2 linked regions of the Tamandua tetradactyla genome follow. The protein of the gene in region 2 purifies or fractionates together with the protein of the main gene of each other region. This does not show direct contact. Links are inferred from orthologs where the notes say so. Each region holds a gene or a part of one and is shown on either strand. Other genes may lie near its edges.

Region 1 (7,585 bases), on a different chromosome or scaffold from region 2:
GAATTCCTCAGGGCTCCAGCCTGGGCATTCTGCTCACTCTTCCCTACCCACCTGTGTTTTTCCGATTAGCATCATTTAGGAGTAACTCCCAAAGTTATATCACTAGTCACCAACTTCTGAGCTCCAGACCCACATTGCCAGTTTTCAATCCAACCTCTCTCCCTGAATGTCTGATTCTTCAAATTCAACCTAATACATCCTAAAAGGAAGTAATGAATTGCCTGTTCAAGACAACGATCTTTGCTCCTTTTTTGGTATTTCACCCAGGTCCTCAAGTTTTAACACCAGGCAATCATTTGACAACTTTTCCTCCCTCTCCCCCCTTGGCTAATTGTTAATAATTTCCTGTCATTTCCCCTTCCTAAACACTTCTTGAATTCATCCACTTCATAATGTCATCTCTTGTCTGGCTTATAATAACATCCTTACTGGCCTTCCGCAACCACTATCACCGCCCCCCCAGGACTTCTCTAGGTTCCCTGATCTCACAACACTATGTTATTTCTTCATAGTTCCCACAATAATATAATCTACTGGCTAATTACATAATTCCACCTTTAATGTCTGTCTGCTCCTCAGAACTGCAAGTCCATCATGGCCCACTGCTGAAAAAATGAACACATCTCCCTCCTACCCACACATTTGAATCCTTCCTATCTTCTATGGCCCAACACAGTGTTTGCTCCTCTCTGCATTCTCCTAAGCTTCTGCCATTACGATCCCACCACTCACCATGTATTGCCTTGCATCATGATGTACTATCTGGATATATCACATCTTCTTCCACAGAGAATATCAGCTTTAAAGGACATAAAAAATATACATTAAAATGTTTTCCAAACTGTACACATTTTAAAATATGCCCTGCAATTATCTTAACACTGATTTTGTATTCCCCAATGCACTTAGCACACCGACAAAATAAGTGCAGATGAAACTGAATTAAAACTCATGACAAACAAAACTATTATTCTTAGATTTTCATTCTCAACTCTTCCTACAGAACACTACTGTGAACATGAATAGCCTTCCAAATACATGAAATTCAGTGAAGTGCTTTTTTAAAAAACTCAAGTAAACATTAAGTACAAAAAGCTTTAATGTAGAGACAGCTTCCTAAAGTCTGGCTAGTGAAAAGTTTTTAACTGATAGGGTTAATGTAGACTTTCACATGACTCATGAAAATAATTTCAGATTATTTAGGTGTGTCTATCACCATGCTTAATAAGTAGTACGTACCAAATAATATCTGATTAGTGGTATGATTCAGTCTGATACTCTTATGATAAACCTGGGGTCTAGACAGCTGACCATGCCACCACAGTTTACTCATCACCTACAGAATCAAGTTCAACCTCCATGCTTTTATTTAAAGCCCTCTACAAACTGGACCCAAGTCTCCTTCTAGGCTTATCCTCTATAACATTCTCTACATTTCCCTAGGTGCCTAACATACCAAGTACAATCACTCAGCTGGTTTTTTAATTCCCCTCTTCTCTAAAATCCCCCATCCTATATCTCCACCCAATGAATTCCTACCCATTCACCTATCTCAATGCCACCTCCTCCATGAAGCCTTTCCTGATTCCCCTTAGGAAGCAATCCCTTTCCCTCTAAACTTGCATTGCTCTTAACCTGTACTTACTTCATTTACAGCACTTACCAGAGACTGCCTCATATTATAGTCATGTTTGCACATGTCTAACTCCTCCACTAGATTTTTAGCTCCTTGATGACATGGGTTGATTCAGTCATCTCTGTATCCTTCACAGCCCCCAGGCAGAGCATCCTGTATACAGTAGGCGGTCAATAAATGTTTACTGTCTCACCAACGATATACGTCTCTATGTTGCTCCACATTTTGCTTCCACATATACCCTCAACAGATTCGCATTATCAAACCCAACAGAAAGCAGGCCTCTTCACTGATTCATGCAACACAAGATGAGCCTGTACATCAAAAGCACTAACCCGAACCTTGGGGATTCAAAGATGAGGAAGACACACATCCTGCAGAGCTGAAGGAGCACAGAACCCAAACAAGTAAGTTTTTTAAGAATACAATATAATGAGATATTTACAAGAAAAGAGGTGCACACAGAGCCTAAGGGAGCACAAAGGAGTGTGCTTAATCTAGTGGTGGGCCAAAGTCAAAATCATCACCTCACTTTATACCGCGGGTAGCAATCGAAGTCACTCAACATTATGTTTCTAGGTACAAAACCTGAAAACACTAATCATGAAACCGACCTTAAAGGCATACTCAGACTGAGCTGCAGATGGAAACTTGAGCCCAAAAGTCAAGGAATTCGATGCAACTGGAAAAGTTATTCCTCTCTGCATCAGCCTACTCCTAGATTACTATTTGGATGCAGGGAAATTAAGGGAGATGTTGTGAATAGTTAATACGCCCAAGAACGTCACTCTATGTAAAAAAGAGCTGCAAGGTGTTGCTGCGTTTTTAAGAATCCCCTCTTTCCCCCAGCTGAGCCCGCAGGCCGGGCACCTTCATCCCGCGGCTCCGTAACTGCGTAAAAAAAAAAAAAAACCTGTTCGCATCTCCCGCCAGACTGCGAGCCCCACGAGGAAAGCTGGGCTCACTGCCTCGCTCCCCTCCGAGACCGGGCCTGGCCCACAGCAAGCACTCCACAAATGAATGAAAGGTTCATTTTTCGCTTCTATTTATTTGTGGAAGCTGGGCCTAGGGTTGCTTTTTTGTCCTTAGCTGCAAGTCTGAAGAGAGGCTGCCCGACCCCAACCCCCTTCTTCCCCAGCCCCGTTTGAATCTGAACACTCAAACAGATACCCTCTCCCAACACCCGCAACGAACCCGTTTTACCTACAAAAGGCTCTCCGGCAGCAAAGGCTCCGACTGAGAAAAGTAAAGCTTATATTGCAGCCGCCAAGGCGGTGGCGCCGCCCGCGCCTCCGGAACAGGAAACCGAGGGAATTAAAAAGCAACCCTGCGAAAGCTGAGACAAGAGAGGGAAAAACGCTTGGGCTCGCCGCAGCGGCCTGCGCGCGGTGATTGGCGTGTCCTCAGGAGCGACGGACATCTCAGCCAATCACTCCCGTGGAGCCCTCCGGCGCCTGCGCCCTACCTCTCCGTCCTCCAATCCGGAACCGCAACCGGGTGAGCGCGCGCTACCTCCGGGGAGGGTGGCGGTGGCCGCAGCTCGGGTTTCTGTGTCCTCGCCGGCGTCTCGGTGCCTGTGGAAGGCTGACGGCCGCGAAAGCATGAGTGGCCCTGCGGGGGAGCGCGCCTGTCTGCGGCGCTACCCCGAGCTCCCGGTGTGGGTGGTGGAGGATCATCAAGAGGTGAGCGGGCAACTGCCGGGCACTGGCGCGCGAAGGCCAGGCAGACCGCGGAGCCTTGGCCTCGGAGGCCAGAGGACCGGCGTTTACCTCCCAGAGTTCTGTTGTTGTGGGGAAAATACTAAAGCTGCAACTTGAGGAAATAGGAACTGGCGTTTATGGGCTTCCTGTGCGTCGGGCAGCTTGTTTAATCCTTACAGTTTGCACAAAACCCCTTAACCAGCAACTGGTGGCTCCCGGATTCGAACCCGGGCATAGTTTGTGTGCCGAACCGGGTGTCCCCAACCTGCACACTCACACAGCCCTGCTGTTTAAGGGGAGGCGCAATGCTGAGAACGTGAGTCCTCATCTAACATTTATTTTGGGGGTGTGCTGCTCTAAGCCCTGTTCACATAATGGTCCTCATCTGTGAAATGGGAACGATTATCGTGCGGTCATAGGGCCTTTAGAAATTGTGTGCATACCGTGCACATAAATCCTTTAACACGTGCCCAGAATACATATATAGTAAAGATGTTGTTAACCTTTTTAAATTGTTACTGTTATCTATTTTAAGGCAGTGCTGCATTAGAATTTAAATGGTACCTAAAAGTAGGCATCTGGAAACCTATCAGGGTGGCCCATAGCTCTCGGAAGTTTTCAAAACGTAGCATTAATAGGCCTCGGAGGTTCTCTGGACATGAAATAGGAAAAGGACGATTCCGGATATACTGAAGGAAGGAAATTAGGTTTTTCGGGACTGAGAAAAGGGGGAAGCACGGGTTGTTAGGCAGTACTTTCAAATTCAATATTAAACCTAGAACTAGAGCAAATGTAAAAGGAGAAAGAGCCTTACGCCCGAGTCCAACCCCACCATCCCATAGGTGTGGGAAAAATGCACGGAGACCCTGGCTACCAGGGGCACACAGTGAAAGCCAGAGCCCACGTAAACCCGCAGTTTGTACCTGAGCTCAGCTTTGTTTCCCTACATTACCTGTTGAGTTTGCAGTGGTGGCAGGATGGTAGCTGGAGCTGCCCATTTGAAAGTGTAAGCTAGAAGTTCTGAGGGTAAAAATAAGGTTTGAGATAGTATCTGGATCATCTATGGTAAACAGATTTTTTACTTTTTTTTATTAGCAACTTGGTGTGCTTCAAAGTATATGCAGTTTGTTTTGTTTTTCTGTCTTCCTTTGATTGTGTGCTTATGATTTCAGTGCCAATTCTGAGTGCATCTTTTACAGGTTCTGCCTTTTATATACCGGGCCATTGGTTCAAAGCATCTTCCTGCCAGTAATATAAGTTTTGTGCATTTTGATTCACATCCAGACCTCCTTATTCCTGTGAATATGCCAGCAGACACTGTGTTTGACAAGGAAACACTCTTTGGGTAATATGTTTGTTAATAATATTTTATGCACTTGAAACACAATTTGCAGTAGATGATAAGCAATTAAGGAAGATGGGCTTTACTAAGCTCATAGGCTTTGTTTTTGTTTCATTTGCCTTTTTGCCTTTCTAATTTTATTTAGAACAGGAGTCAACAAACCTTGAGGTAAAAGCCAAAGAGTAAATATTTTATCCTTGCTGTCCGTACAGTCTCTTGCAGCTACTTATTTCTGCCCTTGTATGAAAGCAGACAGAAACATTATATAAATGAATAACTACAGGGGACCCAACCAAAATTTGCCAACCCCAGATTTAGAATATAGAATTTTAGAAGTAGAAGAGGTTTTTTAGAAATTATCTGAACCAGTTCTCCCTTTCTTACCCCTTTAAAAGTCTGGATTCTGAGGCACAGAAAGAATGTCTTATCTAAACCACACAGTTCAATAATTGTGTAGGCAACACAACTCTAATTTGCCTATCTTTCTAGCCAGTATTCAGTCCTTTCTACATCCCAATTAGTTTAATTTTTGGTCAAAATCCTGTTGACTTTTAGGGTTATATAGAATCATTCAACTGAAAGTAAACTTGATACTTTGTGCTCCATTCTTCAGGTAGAATAAATATATGTTTGAATAATTACTAGCCTCTCCTCTATAATAAAGTTCTCCAAAATATTCTCACTGTCTCTTCAGACATATAATTATTAGAGTATAGCCTGTTCATATAGTATAAAATGTTACAAAGCAGTAATTTTGCTGTGTTATAAAATTAAATATAGATACTTATGTGAAGTAATTTTATCCTATTTCTTTCAGTTAAGTTTTTCCAGAACCCCAGTTTGGACACTTAATTTCTAAAGCATTGTGTGGCTCTACCATTGTCATTACTTTCTTTTATATTTCTAGGTTTTTTATTTTATAAATTGAGGAAATATGAGACAGACATTGCAGAACTGTATAGTCTTAAAATAATGGTTCTTAAACTTTTCAGTCTCAAGACTCCTTTACACTATTAAAAATTATTGAGCTTTTTTAAAGTGGCTTATATCTGCCAACATTTACTGTATTTGCAATTAAATCAGAAACTTTAAAAATATTTATTGATTCATTTCAAAATAACAATAAGCCAACTGTGTATTATAATTGTTATTTTATGAAAAAGAAATTAATATTTCAAAGCAAAGAAATTTTAGTGAGAAGAGTAGCATTGTTTGCATTTTGCAGATCTCTTTAGTAGCTGCTTTTTCAGAAGATACCTGGATTCTTACATCTGCCTCTGCGTTCAGTCTGTTGCCATATGTGTTTTAGTTGAAGTATATGAAGAAAATTCAGCCTCTCACACATATGTAATTGGTAAAGAAAAGGATATTTTCATGGCATTTCAGATCATTGTGGATGTTATTCTTTGAACTGCACTAAACTTTGACAAGTGGTTTCTTAAAGGTTAGATGGAATGTAGAATCCAACAATTCAGACTGAAGTCTGAATAACTGTAGTTTGTTAGTGAGTCCTTTCAAGAAAAAATGGTGCTCAGCTCACAATTCAGTCACACAAAGTGCCTTTTCTTGAGACTGGTTTGTTTTGCTGGGTAGTGAAGAATACAGTGACCACCAGTAGAGTTTGATGTCACTCCCTTGATTAATCTTAAGTCCTCAATCCACACTGCTTTTGTACCATCCCTGCAAATATAATACAGTGGAAAAGGCAAATAATATCTTAGTATTATTTTGCAAATAATTTTGACCTAGTGAACACCCTGAAGAGTTTCAGAGATACTTCTCCCTCTCCCTCCACCCCCACTAGGGGTCCTTTACCAAACTTTGAGACTTGTCTTAAAATATTGTTGTGGATGAAATTATATTTGGGGGAAAAAATGCTCATTGCTTATTTTAATATTTCTCCTCTATTTCCTTTTTAGAGAATTAAGTATCGAGAACTGGATTATGCCTGCAGTTTATGCTGGCCATTTTTCTCATGTTGTTTGGCTGCATCCCATGTGGGCTCAGCAGATCAGAGAGGGCAAACATCACTTCTTAGTAGGCAAAGACATTTCTACCACAACAATCAGGTACCTTCCTCATTTTTATGAGTAAGAAAGAGATTGAATTTCTGTCTTACTTTGGATTCCTGTAATAATTTTCTAAGTACCTTTATATGCAAATGGATCATATTAAAGTTCAGTTCCTCCAAAAAGAGTTTTCAAAGCACCAGAAACAAGTTTTCAAGTCTTAACCTCCTTTATACACCATTTATATTTTGTTGCTGGTCAAGTTAAGTTTTTGACTATGATCTTAATCCTCTGAAATTCTGGCTCCACTGATGCATTAACTCCATTAAAATATAAAGATGCCTTATAGATATTATATATTCAGTGGTACATTTTACTGTTTCCTCAGGTATAACTGCTGTCTGCCGAATTTAACTATTAGCAATGAAAAAGCAAAATTATCTCCCTTAGTTTTTTTTTTTAATAAATCTAATGGTGAATAAATAAATTCAGGATTTTAATTTATTAAAGGATTAGCCTTAGATAATTAACTAAAATGAAAGTTCATCATTCTCTCACGTATTTCATATGCAACTGTTTTTGTAGTATTAACTGTTTGGCCAGTGTTTATATATCTTGTGGCACTGTATTACCTTTAGATATAATCAGAATGTTCTTAACTCTCTAAATTCTGTTGTGATGAGATACTTTAAGTAGTTCAACTAAAACTTTCCTGGTACCTGAAGGATAGTGGGTTGAAATAATAATACACTGACAATAAAATATAATCTCTCCCACTGAAAATGATACTTTTTATTTCTAATTTATCCTAAATGATATAACTTTGTTGTGTATATGTGAAAATTGTTTTTATTTAGGATATGATACCAAAATAAAGAAATAATTGGGGCTCAGAGTA
Region 2 (7,584 bases):
TTAATTTGCAAAAGACTGTGCTACCTAGTAGTTAGAATCATTCACCTTTTCAAAGTCAATGCCAGTGTTTCTAATTTTCCTTGTTTTTGGCACCTCAGAGACTTTTCCATCGTGGCAAAGTCCAAAGTAATATTCTGGATAGAAGTATTCTTTTCTTGTGTAAAGTGGGAGAGAACAATTGTGAACAAATTTTTCATTTATATCAATTTTATGAAAGAATATATACAAAAGTTAAAATTCTCAAAGTAGACTTCCTGAAAACTCTTTTCTATATGTTTCTTATATACCACAGTTTGAAGGCATCTGCTTTAGGCTACCTAGTTGTTGGGGACTGAATCATGTCTCCCACAAAAGGCATAATTAAGTGCTAACCCCTGGTCCTGTGAGTGCGTGTGAACTCATTTCTAAACAGGACCTTTGAAGATGTTATTAGTTAAGATGGACAAATTGAATGAGAGTAGGCCTTAATCCAGTATGGTTAAAGTCCTTATAAGCAAAAGAAATTGGGCACAGAGACAACTGTGGGGATTTACCAGAAGCTGGAAGTTAACAGTTCCAGTAAGAAAAAGGATGAGATGCTGCCAGGTGCTTTGCCACATGATGGAAAAGCCAAGGAACTCTAAAGATTGCCGGCCAGCCAGAAGTCAGGGAAAGGCCCTGGGAGGAAGCAAGGTCTCTAGCCTCAGAAAGCAAAAAAATGTCCTGTTCTTAAGGTATTTAATCTAGCAGCCAGGAAACTAAAGCACTTATTGAATACTTCAGTATTCTATCTAAAGTTCCTGAACCAAGTATCAAAGAACCTGGGTCCTACCTAGACAAAAACCAGTAGCACTATATTTCACATTTAGGTGAGTCTAATGGCTATAAAGTTGAAGAACTGTGAAAGTTATATAAGAGAATGTCAGTAAAAACTTAGAATAGTTGGTTCATGGTATGGGCTTTAAAATAATTTTCTTAGTAGTTGAAAATTGTCTGAAGTATAAATTTTGTTGCTGTAATCACAATAAAGCAGATAAAAATGAGAAAAATGGCAATTGTATTGCTGGCAGGTGGAATCTGTGGAAGGCAAATCACATCCGCAGAAAAACTTGACAACTTAAAAGAGAATGAAATTGATCTTGTGATCCCACAAGGAAATAATATGTATTATAGTTAAGTATGTTGAACCTAAAACCTAGTGGTGTTTCCCAGTTATGTCATTTGCTAACTGTCTGACCCTTTCTGAGCCACAACTTTCTCTTCTGTAAAGTGGGGAGATGATGACAGCTAACATCTGTGGAATGTTTATTATGTACCAGGCATAACTGGTATTATTTCATTTGCTCCTCCCAACATCTCTTTGAGGTACTATCTCATTTTACAGCTGGGGATAAAATAAAATAACGAAGATAAAATAAAAGCTCATATCACTTAGTGAGCATAAGCATTCAATAATTGTCAGCTCTTAGTTAAAAAAAAATGAATTAAGCAAAGAATATTTTTGCTTTATACCAGAAGACTTGGCTGCTACCGAAATTTCTAGGTTTTCTGACCTACCTAATGAAAATCTTTTTCTATGCTTAGTAACAACATAATAAACTTCAATCATATTTGGTAGATACTCATATCATGAAAGAGAAATGCATTCTATAGATTCACTTTGGGATCAGAAACTTGGCTGCCAGAGGAAGACTTCCTTTAATCTTTTAGCATACGTGTGTGTGTGTGTGTGTGTGTGTGTGTGTGTGTGTGTGTGTGGTGTTGAATTAATCAAATAATGACAAAAATATATCATTACATATTGTGATAAACTTTAGGAAGTCAAAGGACCTGATCTAGTAGCAAAATACGAATTGCTCCCCCTGGTAAAATGTAGGGAAGATTGCATTTTCTTTATATACTATTTGTTGACTAAAGAGCCTCAAGCTTACTTAGCATATGTGATAAATGCGCAAATCATTCCAAACACCATTGAGTGCCTACCCTATCATCTAAATCACAGATGGGGCTTAATATTTGTTTCATCCTTGACTCTTCCTTCTTTTACATCCTACCCACCCCTAAATCATTGGCTGACCTTCACCATCAGACCAGTTCTTCCCAACTCATTGCTCTTAATCTGTACCAAGTCCCATCATCTCTTCCCTGGATTCCTACAGTAGCCTTCTAGGTAATATGCCTGCTTTTGTCCTGGACCATCCTCAATTTATTCCTCACCTTGTAGTTACAGGAGTCCTTTTATCATGTGGATATATTCAAAACCTTCCATGTCTTTCTACTCAGAGGAAAAGAAAAGGTTCTTACTGTGACCTTTACAAGCCTTTCATGATCTGGCTTTGCCTCTTACCTCTCCTCCTCATGCTACTCCTGTTACACTAGCCCTACCACAGGACTTTTGCCTGTGCTTCTCCCTCTTACGCTGGCAGGACTAGCTCCCTCCCTTCAGCTCTCTGCTCACATGTCACTTTATTAGGGAGACTTTCCCAGGACACACTACCTAACCACGTTACCCCACCCCACACTGTATATCCCTTTTCCCTGATTTTATTTTTCCTTTCTTTTTATTTTACTTCAGTTGGAGTCTACCTCGCATAAACATTCATCTTCTATGTTCCCCACTAGCATACAAATTCTGTGTGTGCCCTACCGTGCCCCAGTGCCCATGGTAGGCATTCAGCACTTGTCCAAAGTAATACATGGTTGAGTGTCCACTGCTGTCTATGGCTCAAGTAATACCTGGGATGGCCTATCACAAAACTCTCTTCCCTATGCCACTTTTCTAACAATTTGGGAAGCACTCAGAAAACATGATAGGAGACCCCACTCAGCCACCACACTAAGGGGCTTCATATCTGCCGCATCCTTTGAGCCCATCCATAGGGAAAAAAAAAAAAGAGATATTAAATTAGTTGATCTCCAAAAGGCCTTAACAGCTTGACAATTCTATGATGCTATGTGGCCAAATTCTCGAGACCTTACTGCAGTTTCAGGGGAAAGGAATTGATACTGCAAGCATGGCTCTTTCCAATAGAAGGGCCCACCTGACTTAGCTCTACAAAGGAGAAAGTGTCTCAGCGTGAAGGAGATTTATTGCATGTGCACTTTGCAAGGAACTGGAGGAATCGTCCCCAAACCAGTTCAAAGTGGGGGTGTGAGGTAGGGTTTTTAAAGGTAAAGGGTAGGACAAATGGATCAAAACCCACGTTACGTCCACAACTTCTTCTTGTCAAGTCAGGGATGACACTGGATCTTTGTGAGGACAGTACCAGCAATTTCTTAATTCTGTTTTGTCTCAAGCACATCTTATTCCAACTTCAGAGATTAGCTTTAGATATATAACGTCCAAGCTCCTACATTCAGGGTCTTCAGGATTCTTTTCAAACTTTTGTCTTTTGAGGAGGAAGTCATTGATTCACTGGGCCAGAGGGTGTTCTTGATGTTATTGTTATTTTATTCCTGTAAAAAGAACTTCCAATGTCTGGTTAATGTCCTTCTGGAACTAAAGTACAAAGAGGAGATTGCTAAACTCAGCTAGGGTAAGCATATTTTCCAGCTATCAGGAAGTAGGAATGGGAAGTCAGCTTAGAAGAAACGGAAAGAATATGGCCTACCTAGTTCAAAACTTGTACTTATGCTTCCCATCCCCCTTCTGTGTCTTAAGACCACCGGTTTAAACATGTTCATTACCAGAGAATGCCAAGGGTCTCTTGGAGCACCGCCTTTAATGGCGGCCAAGGGACCCCCGCATCAACCTGAAGAGATGCCTCACCCACATTTTACCGCTGCGTTAGCACAATTGTGTTCTGCCGGGGATGGTGCAAAAATTTGCTCAGGAAATGCATTTGTGTGAATCAAACATAACAAAGAGCGTTTTATCACGGCCGACAAGTCACCGCGGGTCCCACTCCGTAAGGAACGGGACGCGGCGCATCCATCATGGCCGCCGGCACAAGCGCAGCGAGCAGCAACTGAAAGGAAATGGCGCCAGGGCGCGCGGTCAGTCTCGACAAGGCCGAGCACTGGGGTGAGGGGTCGACAGAGGCACCAGAAACGCCAACCGAGGACCCTTAAGATCTTCTTGAGCTTTTGACACTTGGAGACCCTGAAAATTGACGACTGCAACATGGAAGCTATTTTATCTATAAAGCAACTAGCACAAGCAGCCTTCAGGTTGCGTGCCGCTACTGGAATCCAACAAAACCCTCTATTCTTTAAACAGAATGCTTTACGCATAGTACGCATCTTCGCAATAGTGGGCCGACTAACGCCTCAAAGAATGCTTCGTCGCAACAGAGGCGCGTCCCCCTCCCATCCCCCCACCCCACGTTCTAGTTCAGGTGGCGCGAGAACTCTACGCTCGCTCCGTACTTTATTTTTCTTCCGTGTTCCGTAAAACGTGTCCATCTCCGCAATCGACGTAAACCTCTTTCAAGAATAGCCCTATTACCCCGCGATCCCTCGGGTGATTCTAAGACGCTGTTTACGTATCGTCTCTGACGTACGTAGCGTTGAGCTGGAGCAGTCTCAGCGGCGGCCGCCATTTTGTGCAGCCGCTGGGAAGGAAGGAGACGCCTAAACCGCGGCGAAGCCGGGTTTGAGCGTAGCCAAACCTACCCACCGTTTTTATATCCCCGATTCTCTGTGTTTTGCTCCCGTCTCCGACGAGAGAGGCGGCGACGGTGGCGTCTGCGACGGGAGATAGCGCGTCGGAGCGAGAAAGCGCCGCGCCTGCCGCCGCCCCAACAGCGGAGGCGCCGCCGCCATCGGTCGTCACCAGGCCGGAGCCGCAGGCCCTCCCGAGCCCGGCCATCCGTGCCCCGCTCCCAGATCTCTATCCATTTGGGACCATGCGCGGAGGCGGCTTTGGGGACCGGGACCGGGATCGTGACCGCGGAGGGTAAGGGAGGGAGGAGAAGAAAGACCTTGCGTCTGCGGGGGGTTGGGGGGAGGTGGTACTTGACGAGACGGAAACCTCTGCCCTAACAGGGGATTTGAGGGGATCCTTCCCGAGCCCGGAGGCGAGGAGACCCGGGGCGATAATACCGGTTCAGTGTGCGGGCCTGGGTCTCGGCCCTGGGGTCACTCGTGACCTGGCAGGAGGAGCGGCTGCTTGGCGACGCTCCAGCCACTCCTTACGGACGGTCGTCGTGGCGCGGCCCAGCCCGGGGGGAGCGGAAAGGCCGGGACCGGGTGGGTTGCAGGCAGGAGGGGGAAGGCCCGGCCGCCGCATATTCGTCCTGAGCCTCTCTGTCTTTTAGTGCCAGGCCGATTAGGGCAAGTCATTTGGTCTCTCCAGGCCTCAGCGTTCATCTGTAAAACACATAAGCTCTTTGTTGAGAGAAGAGGATGATACCTCCGAGTTAAGCTTGGGAAAATCTTAACGCGCAAATGGCTTTTCTCGTGTTCTCTATCGCCGGAGATAATTTAGCGGAACTGGAAACAAAGTACTAAAAAATACTAAATCGCCTTTATTTTTTCAAGTCGGAGGAAGCACACGGAGATACTAAAAGCAGTGGAATTACTCAAAGTTGCTGTGTTTACGAAGAAAGGGGGTTTTGTTTTTTTCTTTTCTGGTTTTTATTGTAAAGTTGGCATCTTCTGTTCTCCTCGGTCTGTTTTCTCAGACTGCAGCACTAGCTTCTCGAACAACCTAGAAAGTTTTAATGTGGGAATCCCGGGGTTACTAGGTTGGAAGCTAATGCGGGATTAAACCTGAACTCTTCTTACATGCAGAGATCACAGGCCTTAATGTCGGCTAAAAAAAAGTGCTTACTTATAGAAGTGTATCTCTGGATAAAGAGCAGTGTGATGCCATTTCGTAATATAATGTGACCTTGGGCAGGATCCTCAACCTTTGTGAGCTCATTTTCTCATCTGATGATGGGTGTAATAATTACTTGTCTTTCGTGGTAAGATAAATGATAAAGAAGCACCACTTACTAGCCACAAACCCTCAATTAACACTTTTAATTTACAATATAAAAATTTACTTTTTGGACTTCTACGTTGTTGGAAAAATACTTGATCTCAGTCTCAGTATTAAACATAGAGGCTAGAAATGTGGAATGTTTGCTTTTGTTGTCTTCGTATAGCTAAGTTGAGAAGCGAATTCCAATACAGCCAACTTTAGGAAAAAGAATTTCACAATATATAATACCCGTGAAAATGGCCCAGCAATTTCCTCTCTTTATGCCCTAGACTCTAGGGACTAGAGAAACTTGCACACGTGCCCCCAGGATATATGTAAAAAAATGTTTATAGCAGCATTATTCATGATGGCAGAAGATTGAAAACAACCCGAAAGTCAGGATACATTGTGGGTATTCATATAATAAAATGCAGTACAGCAACAAAAATGAATGAACTTGAATCAGCGTGGGTGACTCCCAAACATATTGAGTTTTTCTAAAATTCAGATCATGGTAGAAGGACAAATTTAGGGATTGAAACAGGTGTGGTAAAACTAAAAAGCAAACTATTTTATAATAAAATGCAACATAGTAGTAATGGTGGTAATTGTAAACTTGAAACAGACACTTGAGAGGCTATGAAAATAATGGTGGTGATCTTCTTACCGTAGGTGTTTGGTTAAGTGTTTGTTTACTTTTTTTTTTTTTTTACATGGGCAGGCACTGGGAATTGAACCCAGGTCCTCGGGCTTGGCAGGCAAGCATTCTTACCTGCTGAGCCACCGTGGCCTGCCCCATGTTTGCTTACTTTATATATGTTTTGAATGAGGAGTTATCTGAAAAGGGAAGGGGGAATGAATTACTAATCCATACTTAGTTTACCCCATATTCCTTGTGTATAAGATAACAGTTTTTAAAAAACTTTAAAAGTTGTTCATTTAAACAGAATGGCACGTATTAAATAAGGCTTAACTCCTAAATCCATCTTCACCATAAAATTTTCTTTATAATTTGTTTCATTCTTAACTGAATATTACATAGTTGAAATGGATTGTTACCTTTAAAGGAAATGGCTGCCAGCCCTGTATGTACATAAACAGTCCAAAGATGATATACATTGTACACTTAAACTAGCATAATTTTCCAAGTCCATACAGAATCCTCAAAGCTGTATTTGTTGCAAAGCCAAGTTGAACTGTTAATACTGAATCAGTAAAATGATTTAATGAACAGCTTTATGCAAAAAACTTGGGGATTTGCATCGCGTATGCTCAGGAATTAAGTAGAGGGCTCTGAGGTTTGAGGTCAGTGTTAATTACAAACGTGGTAGGCAGCATATATTTTAAGAACCTCATCATTCAAGTTAAATCTTGAGTGTAGAATAGTACGTTTTAGGTAAATAGCCAGGATGACTGGAAGAAGGGATTTGTTTTTTATATTTTTAAATAAAAGGCTGCTTAGAATAAACTTTAAAAGAGGAACTTTTCAGTATAATTTTGCGCTGGAAAATCGTCCTGAAAATGGCATTTCTGGGATCCACAAATTTATGTGAAGTAGACGGATGGAATCTCTAAAAACTGGTCTTTGGTTTTTGTGATTTTCTTCAAGACACTAACAGTCTAAAGACTTGGCTTTTTATTTCATGAATAGTATTGCGCTAGCAGCACCCTTTACAAGTAAAGAGGGGAGGGTTGAT

What was found.
Region 1: the proteins of DDX17 (region 2) and DROSHA purify together in Homo sapiens (co-immunoprecipitation; 3 studies listed by IntAct, with this or other methods). This does not show direct contact. The link is inferred for Tamandua tetradactyla from reciprocal best matches to the Homo sapiens genes DDX17 and DROSHA.

Annotation. Positions count from the first base shown.
Region 1 is NC_135335.1:81,077,093-81,084,677, forward strand, and holds the start of DROSHA (ribonuclease 3), read right to left. Parts: upstream 3,005-7,585; 5' UTR 2,840-3,004; intron 1,790-2,839; exon of another isoform or gene 1,664-1,789; intron 800-1,663; 5' UTR 753-799; coding exon 733-752; intron 1-732. Other genes in the region: C9H5orf22 (UPF0489 protein C5orf22 homolog), read left to right, coding at 3,238-3,318, 4,536-4,681, 6,598-6,747. UniProt on the Homo sapiens protein: Ribonuclease III double-stranded (ds) RNA-specific endoribonuclease that is involved in the initial step of microRNA (miRNA) biogenesis.
Region 2 is NC_135333.1:30,849,981-30,857,564, reverse strand, and holds the start of DDX17 (putative ATP-dependent RNA helicase DDX17), read left to right. Parts: upstream 1-4,583; 5' UTR 4,584-4,826; coding exon 4,827-4,876; intron 4,877-7,584. UniProt on the Homo sapiens protein: As an RNA helicase, unwinds RNA and alters RNA structures through ATP binding and hydrolysis.